5 linked regions of the Nothobranchius furzeri genome follow. The protein of the gene in region 3 binds, or shares a complex with, the protein of the main gene of each other region. Links are inferred from orthologs where the notes say so. Each region holds a gene or a part of one and is shown on either strand. Other genes may lie near its edges.

Evidence for each region.
Region 1: cnot10 (region 3) and cnot2 share a complex: the UniProt entries of both Homo sapiens proteins name them as parts of the CCR4-NOT complex. The link is inferred for Nothobranchius furzeri from reciprocal best matches to the Homo sapiens genes CNOT10 and CNOT2.
Region 2: cnot10 (region 3) and cnot11 share a complex: the UniProt entries of both Homo sapiens proteins name them as parts of the CCR4-NOT complex. The link is inferred for Nothobranchius furzeri from reciprocal best matches to the Homo sapiens genes CNOT10 and CNOT11.
Region 4: cnot10 (region 3) and cnot6l share a complex: the UniProt entries of both Homo sapiens proteins name them as parts of the CCR4-NOT complex. The link is inferred for Nothobranchius furzeri from reciprocal best matches to the Homo sapiens genes CNOT10 and CNOT6L.
Region 5: cnot10 (region 3) and cnot6a share a complex: the UniProt entries of both Homo sapiens proteins name them as parts of the CCR4-NOT complex. The link is inferred for Nothobranchius furzeri from reciprocal best matches to the Homo sapiens genes CNOT10 and CNOT6.

The regions. Positions count from the first base shown.
Region 1 is NC_091744.1:77,738,553-77,742,525, forward strand, and holds the start of cnot2 (CCR4-NOT transcription complex subunit 2), read left to right. Parts: upstream 1-1,161; 5' UTR 1,162-1,266; intron 1,267-1,351; exon of another isoform or gene 1,352-1,484; intron 1,485-2,646; 5' UTR 2,647-2,658; coding exon 2,659-2,772; intron 2,773-2,860; coding exon 2,861-2,930; intron 2,931-3,084; coding exon 3,085-3,232; intron 3,233-3,301; coding exon 3,302-3,484; intron 3,485-3,566; coding exon 3,567-3,646; intron 3,647-3,909; coding exon 3,910-3,973. UniProt on the Homo sapiens protein: Component of the CCR4-NOT complex which is one of the major cellular mRNA deadenylases and is linked to various cellular processes including bulk mRNA degradation, miRNA-mediated repression, translational repression during translational initiation and general transcription regulation.
Region 2 is NC_091754.1:35,255,059-35,259,221, forward strand, and holds the start of cnot11 (CCR4-NOT transcription complex subunit 11), read left to right. Parts: upstream 1-1,362; 5' UTR 1,363-1,553; coding exon 1,554-1,872; intron 1,873-2,096; coding exon 2,097-2,261; intron 2,262-4,109; coding exon 4,110-4,163. UniProt on the Homo sapiens protein: Component of the CCR4-NOT complex which is one of the major cellular mRNA deadenylases and is linked to various cellular processes including bulk mRNA degradation, miRNA-mediated repression, translational repression during translational initiation and general transcription regulation.
Region 3 is NC_091745.1:58,557,407-58,561,436, forward strand, and holds the start of cnot10 (CCR4-NOT transcription complex subunit 10), read right to left. Parts: upstream 2,810-4,030; 5' UTR 2,644-2,809; coding exon 2,628-2,643; intron 2,132-2,627; coding exon 2,046-2,131; intron 889-2,045; coding exon 727-888; intron 644-726; coding exon 493-643; intron 1-492. UniProt on the Homo sapiens protein: Component of the CCR4-NOT complex which is one of the major cellular mRNA deadenylases and is linked to various cellular processes including bulk mRNA degradation, miRNA-mediated repression, translational repression during translational initiation and general transcription regulation.
Region 4 is NC_091750.1:40,065,548-40,069,773, reverse strand, and holds the start of cnot6l (CCR4-NOT transcription complex subunit 6-like), read right to left. Parts: upstream 2,809-4,226; 5' UTR 2,679-2,808; intron 1,685-2,678; 5' UTR 1,675-1,684; coding exon 1,563-1,674; intron 1,422-1,562; coding exon 1,235-1,421; intron 1-1,234. Other genes in the region: mrpl1 (large ribosomal subunit protein uL1m), read left to right, coding at 3,314-3,344. UniProt on the Homo sapiens protein: Has 3'-5' poly(A) exoribonuclease activity for synthetic poly(A) RNA substrate.
Region 5 is NC_091741.1:95,565,312-95,568,824, forward strand, and holds part of cnot6a (CCR4-NOT transcription complex subunit 6a), read right to left. Parts: intron 1,752-3,513; coding exon 1,594-1,751; intron 1-1,593. UniProt on the Homo sapiens protein: Poly(A) nuclease with 3'-5' RNase activity.

The sequences.
Region 1 (3,973 bases), on a different chromosome or scaffold from region 3:
GCAACTTCTGTAAACACCAGGAATCATCAACATCTACAACTGAAAGATAATTCTGTTTCTAACCCTAATTAGATGTTAATTTCCTGCAACAATGCTTGCGTTTTTAACATAATAAGGCTTTATTAATTTGGGCGAATTAGAAAAGCATAAAATCTATGATTAAACAAATGTCTAAAAGGCCTGTAAATCTTCCTTAATTTTTTTTTCAATTCAATTCTTTATTTCACTCAAAGTTTAAATATACAAAATATACAAACTTCAAATCAGAATATAAGCATTCAAGTGAAATAATTTAATAATAACCTTTCTTTATTCTTTATTTATACTTACATAAGGTGTAATACTTTGAGGTGTTTAGAGTTTATCTGATTTAATTATTTGGCAAAACAATGAATTAATACATTATATAGTGTTTTAGAGACGTTCTTGTTCAGAACTATGCAGCTCTTTTATTGTCCAAAGTGGGAGTGAGGTAATAAACTATTAGTTCAACAGTAATGATTTTTACTGCATTTAACAACAAAAATAAATTAGTTTTTAGGGGGAAAAATTGTCAACAAGCAGCTGAGAATTATTAGGGCAAAAAAGACTAAAACTCAGAGTTGTTCAGATATAAAACACAATTCTCAAATAATGTAGTTTATAATGTTTAGTTCAAGTATCTGTTTAAATAATAGATTTATAAACCAAAGGATGGGAAAAAGGCCAAGAGGGAGAAACTTCTTCTTTCCCTATATGTGTGAGTGAGGATTTAATGAGACTTCAGGGTAAAAGAAACCTTTCTTTTCTTTTATAACTGATTACATTTTTGGTCAAAATGAGTCAAATGCAATTAAATTACAAACACGTGCAATTTTGCAAGAAGGTGAAAAAGGAATACCGATAATCACACATAATTTTATTACAGATGGCTCTATTTGTTAATTTTTTTTTACTTTATATGCTATTTTAAAGGTTAAATTAACATTTCACTCTAATTGTAACAGAAAACACATCACAGTCAAATCCAGTATTTGTATTTTTTTCTTTTTTTCCCTGTAAAATCTTCATCATTATTAGAATATTTGTGATTTTAGATGCGATCGCTCGTTGAAGACATAGATATATATAAACGTATGTTCATTTACATGTGTATGGTTGAGGACACCAGCAGCCGGCTCGGGTTTGTGTACGGAAGTGGTCAGCAGGGTCAGAGGGTAAAGGCTCTTTCCACTGGAAGTACACACAGCCATCTTGGATCTAACGAAGCGAAGGGAAATTGATGCGGTGAGCCTATTTTACTTATTATCAGTCTTGTCGGATGGTGTTGTATAAACGTGACCTCTCGACTGGAGCTTTGAGCTGGGTTTCTCTCGTTTTGATCCGTGGCAGCTCGTTAGCCTTTAGCATCAGCGGGTTGCTAACGCTGCAGGTGCTTGCAAACGGAGCGTAGCCGATAACACGGACAACTGACTGTAGATATAGAAACACAGAGACTATTGCAGGTAAATACAGACTGCTGCTGGATCGTTAAATCGTGGTGATTTGTAACGTAAACGCTTCCACTATTCTCACGGTTAAAGTGGCTCGTTCACAAACTGAAACTAAGCTAACAAAACACCTAGCATGTTAACGTTAGCTACTTAGTTTCGGCTAACTAACATGTTAGCATTGCTGTTATAGTTTTCACTCCCACTAAGTTTTCATGAATATTACAACAAATTCAGCTGTCAAATGAAAGTTAATAACCACCTGGGCTAAAAACTAAACTATTGTTTAATTTCTCCAACATTTATATATGTCAGTGTTTTTCAAATGTCATCTATGTAATAAATTAGATTTGAGGACAATTTCGTAAACCTTTCTGAATTTTCTTATTGAACATTAATTGCTTTTTCACTCATAATCCACCTAGCCTTATTGAGTCGGCGTAGTTGATCACTTTCCGTTAATTATTGTTTGTTTTTGAGCCACATCTGTCTCCGTGTCCCATCAAAACGAAACAGTTTTCTATATTTTGTATTTAAGATCTTCAAAAATGATCAAGATGGCAGTTTAAATTTATATTTGAATTCCTCCTAAGCGATTCCCAGCCTCCTATTAGTTGAAAAGTTCTTATTTATAAAAAGACGTGACTTTTGGACGTTAGTTATCAGGTGTAGATTTTAAGCCTTGAGATTTATTTCTACTCAGCTTCTCTTGTTTTTTAGTGTAATGGTCATGTAAGAAAAAAAATACTGGGAAAAATAATAAAAATCTAAAGCCAAACTTTGAAAAACTTCACAAAAAGTTGAAAGACTGTTCTTCAAAAGCACATGTAAAAGGTTAATGGAAAGTCTGCCACAGCCTAACAGGAAACATACTTGTTTTGTGGTGGTTTCTGCTTAAAATTAATTTTCTGTTTGTTTTGTGATGTTGTGATTTGAAAACCTAAGTGTGTCTGAAAAGCTGAGTATTATTTACCACAGTCTTCTGGGCTGGAGCAGCGCCCAAGTTGCCGTGGCTTGCCAGAGAAAGAGATCGACAAACAGGGCTCAGGAATATCTTAAAAAATGAGTTTGAGAAGTTAATCTGGCCTCCAAACTCCAGTTGTTAATTCGATGATCTTGTCTCATTTATTTTGCCCCCTTTAGTCTCCACCTTTACTAAAGTTCCCTCATTCTTTAGGTGACAAAAGGCATGTTTGGTGCTAGAAAGAAATTTCCAGAGTTCGTCGAGGCCGTCGACAATGACTTCCCAGATGAAATGTATTACAGCCAGGGGTCGATGTTCCCACATCGATCCGACAAAGATGTAAGTCTCGTCATATTTCTGTGTGGTCATGTTATCTGATGGGGAGTTTTTCTGATTATTTTTCTTGTTTGTGAATCTTATTGTCCAGATACTGTCTTCTCCTTCACCGTCGTCTGGTCAGCTGTCACAGCTCGGTCCAAGTTTGTACGGTCCACAAAGTTAGTATTTGCTGTTCTATTTGTACCACAGAATGAACTAGTTTCACATTTGTTACAGATCAGTAGTAGACGTGGACTGATCATACAATGCAAAGAATTCTGTCTGGATTATTTAATATTATTTTGGATTAACTTGGTTCTTTTTTTTGTCCAGGTGCAATTGGCTTCCCCGTTAGAAGCTTGGGAAACAGCACACCTCAGTTAAACCGAAATCTCACGCAAGGGTCGCAGCTACCAAGTCATATCACCCCAACAACAGGCGTCCCCACCATGTCACTCCATACCCCGCCGTCGCCGAGCAGGTTTGTGTTTCTGCTACTAATAATTGTAAAATTGCAACAAAATGTTCATTCTTAAATGTGTTTTTGCAGAGGCACGTTACCGATGAGTTCCAGGAACATACTAAATCACTCTCAGGTTGGTCAAGGCATCGGGCTGAGCAGCAGGACCAATAGTATGAGCAGCTCAGGACTCGGGAGCCCCAACCGCAGCTCACCTAGCATCATCTGTATGCCCAAACAGCAGCCGTCACGTCAGCTGTGCACCATAAGCAGGTAGATTTTAAAATCCTTACGTTTATCAACATCCCTCTGTGGACACCGGCTGAAGAACCGGTCTTTTATCTTCTCCGTGCAGCATGTCAGGGTTTGGTATGAACCGCAATCAGGCGTTTGGGATGAACAACGCGTTAGCAAGCAACATCTTCAACGGCACAGGTGGGTAGTTTCTTTTGAATTTCGAAAGGCTGCAAAGTGTCACGGAGCTTCATGTTGCAGTGGAGTTAGTGAACAACTGCTGGCTCTGCAGTAGAATGTGTTTATGTTAAAGTCTGGTTTTAAATCTGAGCAGCACAAAAATGAAAACAAAAGAATAAATGTATGCATTTTATCAATCTTAAAGACAAAATGTATGGTTTTTATTTGCTGCAGTAGCGATTAGTACGTATTACTATAGAGAGTGTGTTAACATGCTGTTGCAGATGGGAGCGACAGCGTGATGGGACTGGATCTGTCAGACTTCCCCGCATTAGCAGACAGGAGTCG
Region 2 (4,163 bases), on a different chromosome or scaffold from region 3:
GAACCTCCTGTCCCAGAAACGCATACCCCCGGTCTAAAGTTTAATTTTACACACAGCGAAAATCCTCACGTAATGGTTTGTGATCCTGATTCAAATGCACATCGAGGGGGGACGACGTATAAAACTTCCCCGGTTCTGTTCAATCTTTGGAAGCTTGTGCATGACAAGTGTTGCACTGAGCCAAACTGTCTTTTTTGGACTTTAACAAAAACTACTGCCAGATGGCCGACATTGCTCCTTGCTAGCAAACACTTTTCTGATCACGTGGACTTTGCACGCTGGATCTGGACGCTGCTGGATAGAATTGCTGTAATGGAATTTAAAGCAGAACAGACTGCTTATATTGGAGATTTTTGATGCAGTCCGATATAATCTGATACGGTTTTTTTGGGCCGATATCCGATACCAATATCGGAAGGGGACATCCCTAGTTACAAGAACATAGCTACCCATCTGAGTGTGGTTTATAGGAAATAATCACAGCCTCCCTTCATTTCACTACCAGAATGATATAAAAATCACCTGCAACATTAATAAAAATTATTATTTTAGCCAACAGCTTGGAGCTTCATATTTTCTTTGGATTTAACTTCCTACGTTTGTTTTACTCATTTCCTCAAATGCATCGATTTTAATAACTATAATGTAAAAAGCATCATAGCTGTGCTTTTAAAACAAAGCCACAACTCTTTTGACTGAAGGACTTGCCTCCTCCTGCTGGTTCTGGGTCGCAGCTCTCCTTTTCTTGAAGGAAGCAGAAATGAAGCTCCCTGCTCAGTTCCACCACCGGCTGGTCAGGAAGGAAGTCCAAACAGTCCAGAGCTGCACAGAGCCACTTGTCATCCCAAAGAACGACAAATAAACACAAACATTTACAAGAAAATCTCATTAATCTGTAAAGTAAAGCAGCTGGGATCCATGCCGCCGCCACAGGTTCCAGTTCTCAAACCCACTGGGAGCTCCTGAAGGCCTGGAGGATCTGTCTGTCCAGGTGGTTGCTGCTGTAGATCAGGTCTGGGTTTCCATGAGCCACCAGGCTGGCTGTAGAAGGAGGAGGAGGAGGAGGTCTGGCTGCACTGGAGCACTCCTTCCAGCAGGGAGAGCTCTATAATGTTTAACAGCCGGAGAAGAGTCTGCTCGGTCAGACGAAGGAACACGTGGAAACTCCATTACCCACAGTGCACCTCGAGGTAAAGGTCACAAGAAATTTAAACGGGTAGTGCGGCACATTAAGAACCTACTTTTACAGCCATAACAGGCACTTATATTGCTTTTGGAGTTTATTTTGTCGCTAATTGCTTGTTCGTTAAGATTGTTTTGTTGTTAAATAGTCAATTATTGTTGAAAATAAGTCAGACCAAAAGCTGAGTCCTGGAAAACGCTAAGCTAAGCTAAGTGGAGGCTAACACAACTCCAGGATGCTAATATCGTTGACTTTCTGATTCACTTCACAACCATGGATTAGCACGTCTTGTCCCGGTATTTTTCCAACAATAACTAGTTTTAAAAACGGAGCAGAACTTCCCCGCAGCTGAACAGAACCGGAGGAGACGATGAGCCTAGCTCCGAAGGAACTGTCCAACCTGCTGAGCATCATCTCGGAGGAGGCCTGCTCCAACTCCTTCGAGACTCTTTCCACTCACTTCCATCATTACTTTGGCAAAGCAGAGCACTTCCGGGTGGGCTCGGTGCTAGTCATGCTTCTCCAGCAGCCGGACCTGCTGCCCAGCTCCCCGCAGCGGCTCACCGCCCTCTACCTGCTGTGGGAGATGTACCGGACGGAGCCCCTGGCCGCCAACCCGTTCGCTGCTGTCTTTGCCCACGTCCTGAACCCGGCTCCGGCAGGAGAGGAGCAGGAGAAGGCGCTGTCCGGTAGGACTAAATAATCCGGCATTAATGAAATCCATTCATTGCCATTGTATACTGGTAACACAAATATAAACACATCAAAGTCCATGATGGAGTCCCATACGTCTATGAGAGGAATGGCAGGAAATACAAGTTGCTAATACTGCTCCTGCACATTTACTGAAAATCTACGTATCTAAGGAGATGAATTCAGCCCCACCTGTTACCTGTGGTGATTTTGTGTTCAGGCTTCCTGCCGCCTATCACCCAGCCAGAGAAGTTCTTCCTGTCCCAGCTGATGTTGGCACCACCCAGAGACCTCTTCAAGAAAACACCCAGACAGGTGTCCTGCATGGACATCACCAACATGCCCCAGCCCATCGACATCAGTGGGCTGCAGCTCGCATTAGCAGGTCGGGGTGTGTGTGTGTGTGTGCCTGTCCTCTGCATCAGAGCTCTTGCCCCAGTGAGTAGACAGCTGCTCAGGGGAGAAAGCAGTGTGTGCATATGTGTGTGTGTGGCATAAGATTATGAGGACACACACAGAAAATTAATAAACTAATGTGGTTCAGAGTCTCCAAAAGCAACACAGCTCGTGCCCGCCTTTGTTTACCTTATTATGGAGGACACCGCGGACTTTCCCGCGCGTATTAATCACCGCCCACAGGCTCGGGGATTTCTGCGTTCCTGAGAAGTCGCTCGGATTTATACGTGAACACTACACCGCCCGTTCGAGACCAGACTCGCTCCATCCAGACCCACCTAACGGGTTGCCTACCCCCGGTTCAGGCTGAGGTTTAACTTATTTAAGCCTACTTAATACCAACTTGATATAAATATTTTGCAAATACTGACTAAGAGTTATACGGTGCACTTATAATCTAAAATAAATCGAAACATATGGTAAAAATATGGCCTGTATTTGATATAGTGCCTTCTAGAGTCCTGGGAGTCCAAGGCGCTTTACAACGCCATCAGTCATTCACCCATTCACACACTGGTGGGGATGAGCTACGACGTAGCCACAGCTGCCCTGGGGCGCACTGACAGAGGCGAGGCTGCCGAGCACTGGTGCCACGGTGCCTCCGACCACCACCAGCAGGCAAGGGGGGTTAAGTGTCTTGCCCAAGGACACAACGACAGCAACAAACTGAGCGGGGCTCGAACCTGCAACCTTCCAGTTATGGGGCAAGCACTTAACTCCTGTGCCACCGTCGCCCACATATGTTGCATAATGGTTATTTAGTCCCCTCCAGCGGTGCTGTGGGAGAGTGTACGGCAGCGGCGCGTCACTCAGAGATGATTTATTTTTTATCAGCCTGAGAAACTTATCTCTAAACTAATCAGTGACAGGTCCCATCAGTTAATGTAATAATTGTCCCAGGCATTTTGGGCATCCCTCTCCCTGCTTTCACAGTGATCGTGTGCTGCAGCACACACACACACACCATAGACATAAACATAGATGACACCTGGACAGTTTGCAGCACATGAACAGGATACAAACAAATGAAGTAGAAGAATTCAACACCAACAGCTGCAGGTGTTAATAATACAGTGTAAAACAATCACATATATGAGCTGTTTTGTTGGTAGAGTCTGTTGTTGTTTTTAGCACTTAGGTAGTTAAAGAATGAGTTGCAATGTAGTTTGTTCCAGTGGTGTTGCTGTGGTGTGATGTCATCAACAGGCGCAGGTCCCTGAGCGGATCTGATACCTACACCAGCATCAGAAAAGGAATTGCAAACAAGCAACTGTGGGCCAGAGCCGCTGAAATAAAACCAGGAGCTGGATGCGTTTCGAGTTGAGGCGCTGATCGAGCACAAAACACGTATAAAACATGTTACATGGAAGTAGAGCGGGTTGTCCAGTAATCAGAGGGTTGTCCCGGCTCACCGCCCGGGTAGCTGTAGCTACACTGTAGCTCATCACCATCAGTGTGTGAACGTGTGTGTGAATGACGCACTGTAGTGTAAAGCGCTTTGGAGTCCTCTGACTCATGGCACTAAATAAGTGTGGGTCATTTATCATCATTGTCCTGGTTCATCATGTCCGCTCTTTAAGCACCTCACCATTACGTCGTGTATAGTTCTGCTCCAAACAAGGAGCTAATGTTTAACACGTCATTTGTAAGTCAGGTGAGAACATTGGTTGATGGTGAGCGTGTTTACGTACGTTATTACACGCTCGTACCAGGATGGTCGTGTCGCTCTCACCTTCAGCCCCTGACCCGTTTCCATGTCTGCTCCTTGGTCTAACAGAGCGCCAGTCGGAGCTTCCCACTCAGAGTAAAGCCAGCTTCCCCAGCATCCTGA
Region 3 (4,030 bases):
CCTGGGGTCATACCAGACATGAGGTGGCCCAGCAAGAGTGACCATTGTTACTAAATGGGTGTTTCAAAGCAAATAAATCATAAATCGTCTTTTCTCCACATTCATTCCTCAAGGTGTTAACAACAACAACAACAACAACAAAACGTAAACTGTAAAAAAAACCTACAAGTGAACTTCTTTAATTTTCACCAGAGAACAAAGTGGCTAAGGCTCGTTCTAAACTAAACAAGATTTATAATATAGTAAAAATCACTATCACAGATCACTATCAGATGTCGGAGTCACAGCTGCCTTCGTTTACAAACTTAAGGAGGACACCACAGACTTCTCCGCGCATCTTTTGCTATCCACGTGCTTTGAGATTTTGGTAATCCTGAGAAGTGTGTGTGTGAACAAAACGGTGTGTGATCCAGACTGACGCCACCCAGCCTGGACAGGGCCTGATGTGAAAGCAGCATTGGCAACCAACCTTCACACAACAGGAAAACTTACCAAATGGTTCAAGGAACTGGTAGAGCTTCTCTCCTATGGAGATGGCCTCCGAGTACTGTCGCATATGATAGAGGATGATGGCTTGGTTATAATACAACAAACAGTTCTCTACATCATCCAACCCATCACTATCATCAGCTGATGTGTGGAGCTGAAAGATAAAGAGTCCAGGAAAACGTCAAGGCAAACATGAAAGTGTTCAAAGCAAAAATCTAAAACCAGATCTGCACCTACCCGGTTTTTCATCGCCATCAGGGTTTGCTTGAGTGTCCCTGAAGTGGTCTGACCACTTCTGAAGAACTCTACCACAGCTTTATTCATGGCGATCTTGTAGTCCTCTTTATTTACATCCTGCAGAGCTTCAAGGTGTTTGAGAGACTCATCATATTTCCCAGCCTGAGGAGCACAGAAGTTCATTTCACAAATCTGTAGCACACACAAAGTATTTCAAGCAACACTTGAGGGTTTATAACAGCTTAAAGCTATTGTTTTCAAACTGGTTTCAATGCTTCTTGAGCCAGAAACTTGAGGAACTTCACATTGGACAGCACTCTGTAGACCTCTGCTAACCAAAAACAGTTTTGTGGCTAAAGCTAGTGGTCTCCACATGCACTATGGCAGCAGCTGTTTGCTGAGTCGGTAGCTAATATTAAAGCTAGCTGTTAGCTTTGAAGACCAATATAGAGACCAAAAATTATTTTTCTTCGTTTGTTGGCATCATGATGGAGCCTGGGAGTTAAGGAAGAGCTTTGGAGGTGAAGCAAAGAGCTACACTCATTTGAAGGAGCTATAGGGCCTTACGAAACCACAAACCAATGATGACCTGGCTTTGTTGCTACTGGACTGGTATGTAATAAAATTTTATGGTCCAACAGTGTGAACCTTTTTACTTTGTTGCTTATTTTAGTATCAGTTGGCTCATGTTAGCATTAGCTAGTTGTTAGCAGGTTGCAGCAGGGTTGTTTACGACAGTTGTAATTCTTATGTCAACCAGTAGGGGAATGCAGGAAACTTATTAAGTGTTGTTTTAAGTTTCCTTTTATTCCTCTTAAAATTATTCTTTAAAATACACAAATCAAAAATGTAAAGTATTAAAAAAATCGACCCAGCTACAAGAGAAGCACAAACCAGCTGGTGACTGCAACCTGCAGATACTCAGTGTGATCAGTTATCCATAGCTCTTTGGGAAAATCAGTATTGGCAGATGTCTGTGGATCACAGCAGCACATGAATCAGAAATCATTATCAGCCCTAAAAACCAGAACGGGTGCATCTCTAGTGGTAACTTCTAAGCTATACCTGCACTTGCACTGCACCTGTACTTTGAACAGCCTCAATGTGGAGAAACAGGAATTGGTTCTGATCAGATTCACAAGCTAACACCTGGTCTCTAGATTACAGCTACAAAGTCATTTCAAACCTTTCGGATCCAACATTTCAGAGCAGTGTAAGAGAAAGTTATTTATAACCTTTATAGTCAAAAAGTTCAGTAAGCCATCAGGTGAGATCATTGCTCACAGAGAGAGAGAGTGTGTGTGTATGTAAACAGTTACCACAAAAGCTTCATATGCACTTGCTGCGATTTCCTTCTCTCGGTTTGTCATCCCGCTGGAAGGCGAGCTCTCATACTCCGTTTGTTCTGATCAGAATGAGAAGACGAGGATTAAGTCAAACTGTGCAGTCTGCAGGCTCCTGCATCCCTGCTACTGTTCATCAGCTGGACTCCCCGTTACTCTGGTAGTTATGATGTTTACATGTCCTTTACTGGTCAAAACAAGAGCGCCTACAAACAGCCGCGGCTGACTTGGCGAGGATACAGAACCCAAAAACCTAAAACAGTTTTTTTTTATTCTGGAATAATTCTGATGACGTTTTAAACTCGGAGGCTGTGAGTAGTGACAGCCTGGCATCAGGCTGACAAGGTTATGTGGTCACCTGGCATTTTCAGAGGACTACGTGTTCAAAATCAGAAACTTTATTTAAGTTTTAATAAGAAAACGGGCCTATCGTCTCTGCAGCTCAGTCACAACATAAAGATCACTTCAATCTGCCTCCAACAAACCCGTCTCAACGAGTCAAAAATGCTACATTTAGCCTCACGTCGCTATTTAGCTAGCAAAATCTCTAAAACTTACCAGTATTTTCTGACATTTGTGATGATTTTAGGAACGAGAACTTTCGTTTCTCCTAAAGCAGATTCCGATTAAACTGCGCTGGGTAGAGAAGCGAGAATTAAATAATGAGAAAATACTCGATAACTGACATTAAACATACAAAATGGCTAGCCGATATGTCTGTTACGCTCCAGTAAATTCTTCGCTGGCTATATTTAAGCAGCTGATGGGAGCTCAGTAGCGCCCCCTTTTACCCGGGAGGACTCATGGGTTTTGAACCCAGACTGACATTTCAAATACCATAATTAAATGACATGTATTTCAACTCTTTCTCGGATTTTACTCGGTCAAATATTTCCTCGAAAAGTAAAAATAAATAAATGTTAACGTAAACTGCATCTTTTGCTCTGTAGGTCTTGAAACTGCCCCTTATCTCTTCAGCCATTCTGTTGGAGCATTAAGCATTGGAAGGGTGTTTCCTAATTCATTGTTATTATTTCATTGTTTTTTTGAGCATATTCTAGGTTATAACATATTAGATTAAAGTATAACCGATGGCTAAAATATTTGCACACAGTTGTAACAGCTATTGACAAAGTACTGTCTTTTATAAAGATCTAAAGCTGGTGTACGTACTTTAAAAATGTTAAATAAACTTAAAAATGCTTAAAGGGATACTTTATAATTATTTCATATTTCCTTGAGCCACTGTGTGCTAAAATGACCATTTACAAAGTTAATTAAAAGTCACTTAGACCCCTACCGCCCTCTGTGGCCAGAATACAGCATTTGCAACTTCAGAGTGCCTGTTGGAAAAGAAAATTGAGCTGACATACCTGGTGCTGCAGTCTAGTTTCAGCAAGTTTCCTGCATGTTTACGTCATGAACACAGCTGATTTGTTTAATTTAGTGATGAATCACCCCTTTAGACACTAAGGAAGACTGGAGAGGCATTTCAGCTGTTAGATTAAGGTGTTAAAAAGATGAACACACAGTGAGGAGATAGATTTTGCTTTCAGTTCTACAAATGGACACTAGGCAGTGCTAAAAGCATGTCAAAACTGCCTATTATTAACGGTCTGACCCTATTCTATGTAATACAGTTGGTCATGTTTCAGAATTTATATTTCCACTAAGTCCCTCCCCTGGCTTCTACAGCTAAGTAAATACTTTATACAAACTTAGAGCTTTGACTTATAGAGCTCCAGGAGTTGACGTCACTTCTCCCGGCATGCAACGGTTCAAATCGAACGGCGCCATCTTGGCAGGCAGAAGCCCGCAGCTAGGCTATTTGTTATTGTCAGGAAACTCAATGAAACTGGAAATATGGTAGATTCCTGTTGTGCCCCAGGATGCCAGAACAGACGTGGACAAGATAAGGGATGAGCCTTCTACAGGATTCCCCAAGATCCAGAACGCCACAA
Region 4 (4,226 bases), on a different chromosome or scaffold from region 3:
ATGAATTATAATGTCGTTTTGCTGATTTAGAAGTTCTTGCAGAACTTGAGTCCAGACTTCAAACATCTGTTTATGACGTGTTATTCATCATTTTTAACTTGTTCATTTAAAACCATTTTCATCCGCTCATACGGAGTCGGGTCGCGGGGCAGCAGCCCGAGTCGGGAGGCCCACACTGCCCTCTCCCGAGCCACTTGCCCACCTACTGAACTTCTCTGGAATTGATAAGGAACTGGATCGATGGACAGAATCGACAAGGTTGTTGTTATTGATAAAAACTGATCAAATCCCACCGCTAGATACACATGCCCGAAAAACCTCACCAGGAGGCGTCCTGACCAGGCGCCCGAGCCACCTCAGCTGGCTGGGGAGGGTGTGTGCGTGCATGTGTGTGTGCACGCGCGTGCATGTGTGTGTGTATGTGTGTGTTTGCGTGCGTGTGTGTGTGTGTATGTGTGTCTGTGCATGTGTGTGTGAGTGCGTGCGTGCGTATGTGTGTCTATGTGTGTGTATGTGTGTCTGTGCATGTGTGTGTGTGTATGTGCATGTGTGCGTATGTGTGTGTATGTATGTCTGTGCATGTGTGTGTGTGTGCATGTGTGTGTGTCTATGTGTATGTATGCAGAGACACACAGACACACACACAGACACACACTGCAGCACTCCCCACGTCCGTCCTTACAGACAGGTGTGTGTGTGTGTGTGTGTCTGTGCATGTGTGCATGTGCATGTGTGCGTATGTGTGTGTATGTATGTCTGTGCATGTGTGTGTGAGTGCGTGCGTATGTGTGTGTATGTGTGTCTGTGCATGTGTGTGTGTGCATGTGCATGTGTGCGTATGTGTGTGTATGTATGTCTGTGCATGTGTGTGTGTGTGTGCATGTGTGTGTGTGTGTGTGCATGTGTGTGTGTCTATGTGTATGTATGCACAGACACACACACACACACACACACTGCAGCACCCCCCACGTCCGTCCTTACAGACAGGTGTGTGTGTGCGTATGTGTGTGTGCGTGCGTGTGTGTGTGTGTGTGTGTGTGTGTGTGTACGCACACGTGGGAGGGTCTCACCTTTCTCACCCTTGACCTGTGTTCATGTCTGACTGGTTTAATCACCTGATTCAGGGTTTTAAATGACCGCTTTAGCATCAGTTCGGTTGAAACTGTCGGACACGACGGACGACCCCACCCACACTGCAGCTGAGTTAAAGGTCAGGGGTCAGAACTCCACCCACCTGAGAGTAACCATGTTGCCCAGTTCGGCGGGCAGACTTCGGAGCTTATTGGATGACAGGTTCAGGTAGACCAGGTTGGGCAGCTTGGCGATGTCCGGTGGGATACGAGTCAGGTTGTTGTCGTTGATGTGGAGCGCCGTCAGGTGGGTGAGGGTCCATAACGAGCTGCTCAGGCTCCGCACCCTTCCTGTGTAGGTGGCGGAGCTTCATTTTACTAACATTTCTGAACACAGTGGGCCAAACTGACCCCGACACTGAAAACATGGACAAGACTTTCTCTGGATATAACGTCCAGAGTGTGTTTTACTGGAAGTAAATGCAGACTGACCAGAGATCTCCAGCTCAGCCCAGTGAGACTTCTTCCCACCAGCCGCCTCCTCAGCTGACATGATGGTGTAACATCTGCGGGGATCTAGGGGGTCATATTTCTCCTTTGGCATTCCTGTTAATCTGCAGGACAAACCAGGAGCACGAGTTATCGTGGCAATCGTAAAAGAAAACACCAACTTTTATTTCAAGCACTAAAAAAATGTGGAAAACAAGAGAAGAACAATTTATAAGAAACTCAAAGGTTTAAAAAAAAGCTCGAGGCGTTTTTTAGTTAATGATGACGGAAGCAAACTGCTCATTTTTCTCAGGAGGTTTCACCTGCTGAGGAGCAACAAAACCACTGAAACCAGAACAAACCAGCAGAACATTTGATCAGTGATTACAGTTTTAATCAGAAGTTATCCACATAAAGAAAAGTCATCCAGAGGACTTCCTGCACTTGTAGGATGATCGTCGTAGAACCTCATCTTTAAACGTTCCTGTGGATCTACAGCCTGATTACTTCAGAATGGTGAGTTACAGCAAATACGTTCAGGGCCTTTGGGTGAGGTGGGTTCAGGCGCAGCAGGTCACAAGTGTCTGCAGACACCATCACAACTCCAACAGGTCATGTTGCCTCAGGAGCTGAAAGAGGGCCGTGTGTGTGTGTGTGTGTGTGTGTGTGTGTGTGTGTGTGTGTGTGTGTGTGTGTGTGTGTGTGTGTGTGTGTGTGTGTGTGTGTGTGTGTTGGAAAGTATGCAGCAGTGACAACTGCTCAGGCAGCTGAGGGACGAGTGTCCAAACATAGCTGTGGTGTCAAAAGTGACAAGAGGACAGGCCCGCTCACCAGCTGCTGGCACACCTGACACCAAGGTAAACACGCGCTCCGATTCGACACCTTCCACGGATGTCAGCGACACATTTACCTATGCAGCAAAGACCGGTCACGGTAACCGACCAGCGCTCCCGAAGCACGGGGCTGGAGTAAGTCAGCCAGCGGCGGCTGGGCGCATGCTCCCCGGGCTCCAGGGGCTTAGGGTGGGGGACACGACCGGACAAGGACCGAGTCGGGCTCTAAGCTGGTTTAGCGCCGAGCCGCCCGGGCGAACCGGCTCTAGATACAAAACGTGTTTACCTTCATCCGGGGGCTGTAGAAGGGAACTGGCAGCGACATGCAGGCGCGGGTTCAACCCTGAACGTCTCGGAAACAGAAGGAAGAACAACAAACGCGGCTTCCGCTCGTTACCGACAGTCCAGAGCGCGGTCGTGCACGCGCCTACTAGCTTCTTAGCATAAATCCCAAACGAAACTTTACAAATATGCTCATTTATTAATTGTTAATAAGTGACACATATTACGCTAAAGTTTGATACTAAACATGTGAAGGACACGTGCTAGCTGGTTAAACTCGTCATCTGTGACGTGTAGCTGACGTCACTTTATTTGACAAAAACCCGATGCAAAAACCAGAGATTCGGCATTATTTTTATTTGTTTATCTTATGCTTGCAATTCATTCATTTTGCCACTTTACACGATTTTAACATCAACATTTACTTCTAATCACACCTTAAAACAAATACTGAACTCGATCATTTAAATCAGTGAATCTTTAACATTAGATGAGATTTTAGAAACGTTTTTAAACGGTTTCCTGTAATGTAAACTGGTTAAGTTAGAGCCGACCTTTTAAAAATAAATATGTGTGTTTGTGCGGAACCATTGAGCGAACTGCTGTTTTTACACGGACAACGGACCACCAGAAGCAGACATGGCAACCTGCTCGCGGGCAGCTTGGAAAGGTCAGTGAAATTAGTTTCTCATCCAGGAAAAACGGTAAATTCATGAATGTTATTTTTTTGTTTCCGGTTGGGTTATTTTCTGTAGATTAGCGTTTTAGCTGCCCTGCTATCTGTTTCCGGTTAGTGTGTCCTGAGCCTAAACGCTCACAGAGGTTACGGAAACATGTTTTCCATCAACGTGTGGTTGCAAACTGGAGCCCCTCTGTTATGCTAATTAACTTTAGCTCACATCGTTTTCAGGAAGGTGAAAAAGTCTAACTTTTCTAGCGTCTTCTCCTGTGTTTACCCACCTGTCCGTCAGTCACATGTAACTACCATCATTTTGGCAAATATCCCACCTAGGCTCCCGTGTCTGTCTGAAACACAGGAGTCCTGATGGTTGAACCCCCCTCTGTCCGTGCGGCTCGCGCTGCTTTTTACACCTTTAGTGGTGTTGGACACGTGTTTACGGTGGGTTAACCGGGGTTAATGGTCAAACCAGTTGTTACCTGTAACCCTACTCCTCCGGTGTGGCCCTGGCCACCCTTTTGGGGAGCCACTGCTATTATTGTAACCTCCAACCACTAAAAACAACAAATAAAGGAAACATGTGTTTCCAGAACTATGCAGCGTACAGTAAGAGACACGAACGTACTGCGTACATCTGGTATTGAACACACACACTGAGTATTGCATTGGTGGTGTTGTGTACCAGGATAATGCCAGTACCAGTTAAACTGGGGAATCCTACACTTGCTGCTGAGGGGATGAATGACCTACGGTAGCGTTCAGTTCTACATCTGGGATGCCTGTAAAGGAGCTGTCCATGGTCTCCACAGTGGGGGCGGGGAGGGGCTTTTTAAGGGGGAGGTCATCTTCCCCAGCATCCTCCTTTCACACCTC
Region 5 (3,513 bases), on a different chromosome or scaffold from region 3:
GCATCACAGAAACATAGGGACACGCTGTTTGTGCATCGACTCTATTTTTTACACACTATTCTTTGAGAAGGCTTCAAACTCAGCAGTTCATACCAGGCCAGACTAGGGTTGTCACGGTGTGAAAATTTAACCTCACGGTTATTGTGACCAAAATTACCACGGTTTTCGGTATTATTGCGGTATTTTTTTTTAAACGTGCTACATTTTCACACAATTAAATAAAACCCTGTATGTCAGGAAATATTGTCCTCAGTTTGTGTCTAAATTTAGCCTAAAATGTGTTATTTTGTAATTATGTTGTTTATTTGTTTACATTTTTCCCCTTTAGTCTTGAAAATACCAATATTTGCCCATAACTTCTTATTTTATGTCTTTTTGATGTCATCATTTTAAAAATATTAGATCAGATGATACTCAGTACTCAAGTAGCCTTCTAATCAGATACTTTTTACCCTTACTTGAGTAATAAACCCTAGATCAGGAAAATATTGTCCTCGGTTTGTGTCCTTCCAGTGAGCTTTGCAGATTTGGGAAAATGTCATCAGGCAGTAATCGTTGTTAAATTCATAATTATTCTCGGAGAGAGACCAACTCTTATCTGCCCCTGGGAGCCCCGTAATGCATAGCATCATTTCAATATGGCGGTGTCCGCGACACGGTTTATATGCAGGTAGCGGCGGTGCGGCTGCTTTATATAGCGACTCGTTTCATTCTCCCTCAACCCAAATCCTCGGATCACACATTTTAGCTAAAACGCTAACGTTAGCTTGCCTTTCGTTGACTGTAGCGTTGTGGGTGATGGTCACGCAGATGTGTCATGAGATTTGAAGTGTTGCTGCCGGATAGCCGTCTTCTATCAACTGTCTCTCAGCATTCTTCAAATATCCAAAAGATGCCCATACTTCCGACTTTGTCTTCTTTGAGGGATAATAAATGTCCTGAGTGCTGCCGTCTCCTCCTTTGGCCATTATTTCAGCTTTAGCTTCAAGAAAGTTTTGGTTGTAAACAACAAAGTGCGCATGTCCCACGGGCAACTTCAGCAGATGATACGGTGGCTGGTAAGGGTCACCGCGCCTACACCGCAGCCACGGTAATCCACCGAGATAATATAGTTTTTTTTAAAACAAGACGGTTATCATTATTGTCAACTTTTTTTACAGGGGTTTACCGCTACACCGGTTACCGTGACAACCCTAGGCCAGACAGGAACTGAAACACAAAAATGGTGTAAAACATCTAATCCCCCCAGGAAACCCCCTCCTCACCAGTCAAAAATCCGAAACCCAAAGTGCTTTTACCAAAACAAAAGAACCAATCCTGATTCTTGGCAACGTAATGAAACTGATGGACCCCCCCCCCCCCCCCCCAAAAAAAAAGAAAAAGCACAAATAAAACAATATTGACCTTTGATCCCTGATCAAACTGAACATGATTACACTTTGATCAATCGTTCTACAATACAAGCAGCTGCAAAACAAGCCACAGTTTTGCCAACACACTGTCCATAAAACATTTATTTGACTAAAAATCACATTATGAACATCTTGTAATCCTAGTTACAAAGTCTTAATGAATTCTTGGATATTATCTTACCTGCAAACTGATGATGTCTGCGTTGCAGCCGAGGATTTCCTGCATGATGGACTTCTTCCTGTACTCCCAGTTTAGAGCCCAGGTCGGGCAGTAGCCATAGAGCTGCCTCGTGGCGTATTTATCACACAGCACGTTATAGCACATGACCGAGAAGAGAGCTAAGGAACACAGACAGGAAAAATTTCACTCGTTCACGTGTTTCTGAAGCTGACAGCAACCTTAAACACTCCCTTCTAAGGCGTTGTCTTGCTTTAGTTATTAAATCATAATCAGATGGGTTTTATTTGGTGAAATTACTAGTTCCACCCATCAGTAGCAGTGAGTTAACCAAAACACAGGAAAAAGACTTCGACTCATCATGAAACCCCATCGGTGCAGCGTCCTCATTTACCACGAGAGTTACAGAGATCACACTACGTCGCTGGTTTTAGAATGAAAACGGTTAAAACTACAAACAGTACAATATATATTTAAACCAAAATACTATATATTATCAAAAAATATTTGTAGTTTCAAAATATTTGTAGTAGGAGAAGGAGGTTATCATTTTTGGGGGAAATATTTCAAATTTAAGGAGTTACACACCGACATCTTTTCTATCTGCGTCTGGAAGAATCATTTAAGAGGGGCTGAAGGAATGTTTAAAGGTGCAATCTGTAAGAATGACATCTAGCGGACAAATGTGGGTACTGGGGTTCATTTTTTTGGCAAAAACATCACGTTCTCACTGCCGTTCTGTGAGTTTCATGGCTGTTGCCGTTTAATGACGAGCACCAGAAGATTCTAGATGACGAGCGAAGACGAGTCATACACAGAAAGTGGATAAGTTGATGAATACATTGTCATATCTGGTGTTAGCATTCCTGGGTGTTTTATGGCAGGGAGCACTTACTACACTTATTATGGTAGTTTGTTTCAGTTATTACAGGAAGTGTGGTTGTGTGCATTCTTGCTGTTAGCCTGCCGTTAAAAGTTCTGAGCAACTCATTAAAGGAAGAAAAACTCAATTACTCACTTCACACATACATTTCACTGTAACATCAAGTTATTGGTAATTGAAAAAGTAGCTTGAGATATTTTTGAGCTGACTATTTGCTCCTTATTCATCGTTAGCATTGTTAGCTCAATAATAAACTCTAGCCTGCTTTACTCAACATTAAGCCCCCTTCAGACAGGCCATGAAAAACGGAAATGTTCCGGAATCTGTCCGTAAGACCTTTCTGTCTGAATACAAACATCCGGATAATGTGTTCCGGAATTTATCCGGACGAAGCCCCTAGTAACAGGTCCGGACTTGTTACGGACAGGGTGGCTGATTCAGACTGGTGAGGTAAAGTTCCGGACAAGAGGGAGGGGGAGGAGGAGGGGACCGGGGGACGCTGTGCGCACCTAGATAGCCCGCTGCTGTAGCATGCGGCGATCAACGGCAGCTCGCCTCCTACGGTACCGTCTAGACGCGCGAGGGAGCGCTTCACACCGCTTCAGTGATTCCTTTAACCATTGAGCTTCATCATCCAGGTCTCTTATGCGTCTTCGTGTGCGCAGAATTATGCTTAAGCGCCTCGTGATTTTTATCTTGAGAGGCGCTGTAGAAATGATATTTTCTTCTTCTTCTTCTTCTTCTTCTTAACATGAGTCCGATCACCCCCCCACCACCACCACCCCCCGCCGCCGTCAGACATCTGGAACTTTTCCCTGCTGTGTGAACGCAGCCGAAAGGACAAGTTCCGGTACAAAAGTGGTGTGTCTGAAAACACAGTTCCGGTTAAAAACCGGATTGAATTGTCCGCAAATGTTCCAGAATGTCTGTCTGAAAAGGGCTTTAGAGTACAACTAAAGGATGCAGTAGCTTCTTAGGGGTCGCACTTGTTTACTGGCTTTATTCAGTTCTTTTAACAACTCTGGAGCACTGTGTTGAAT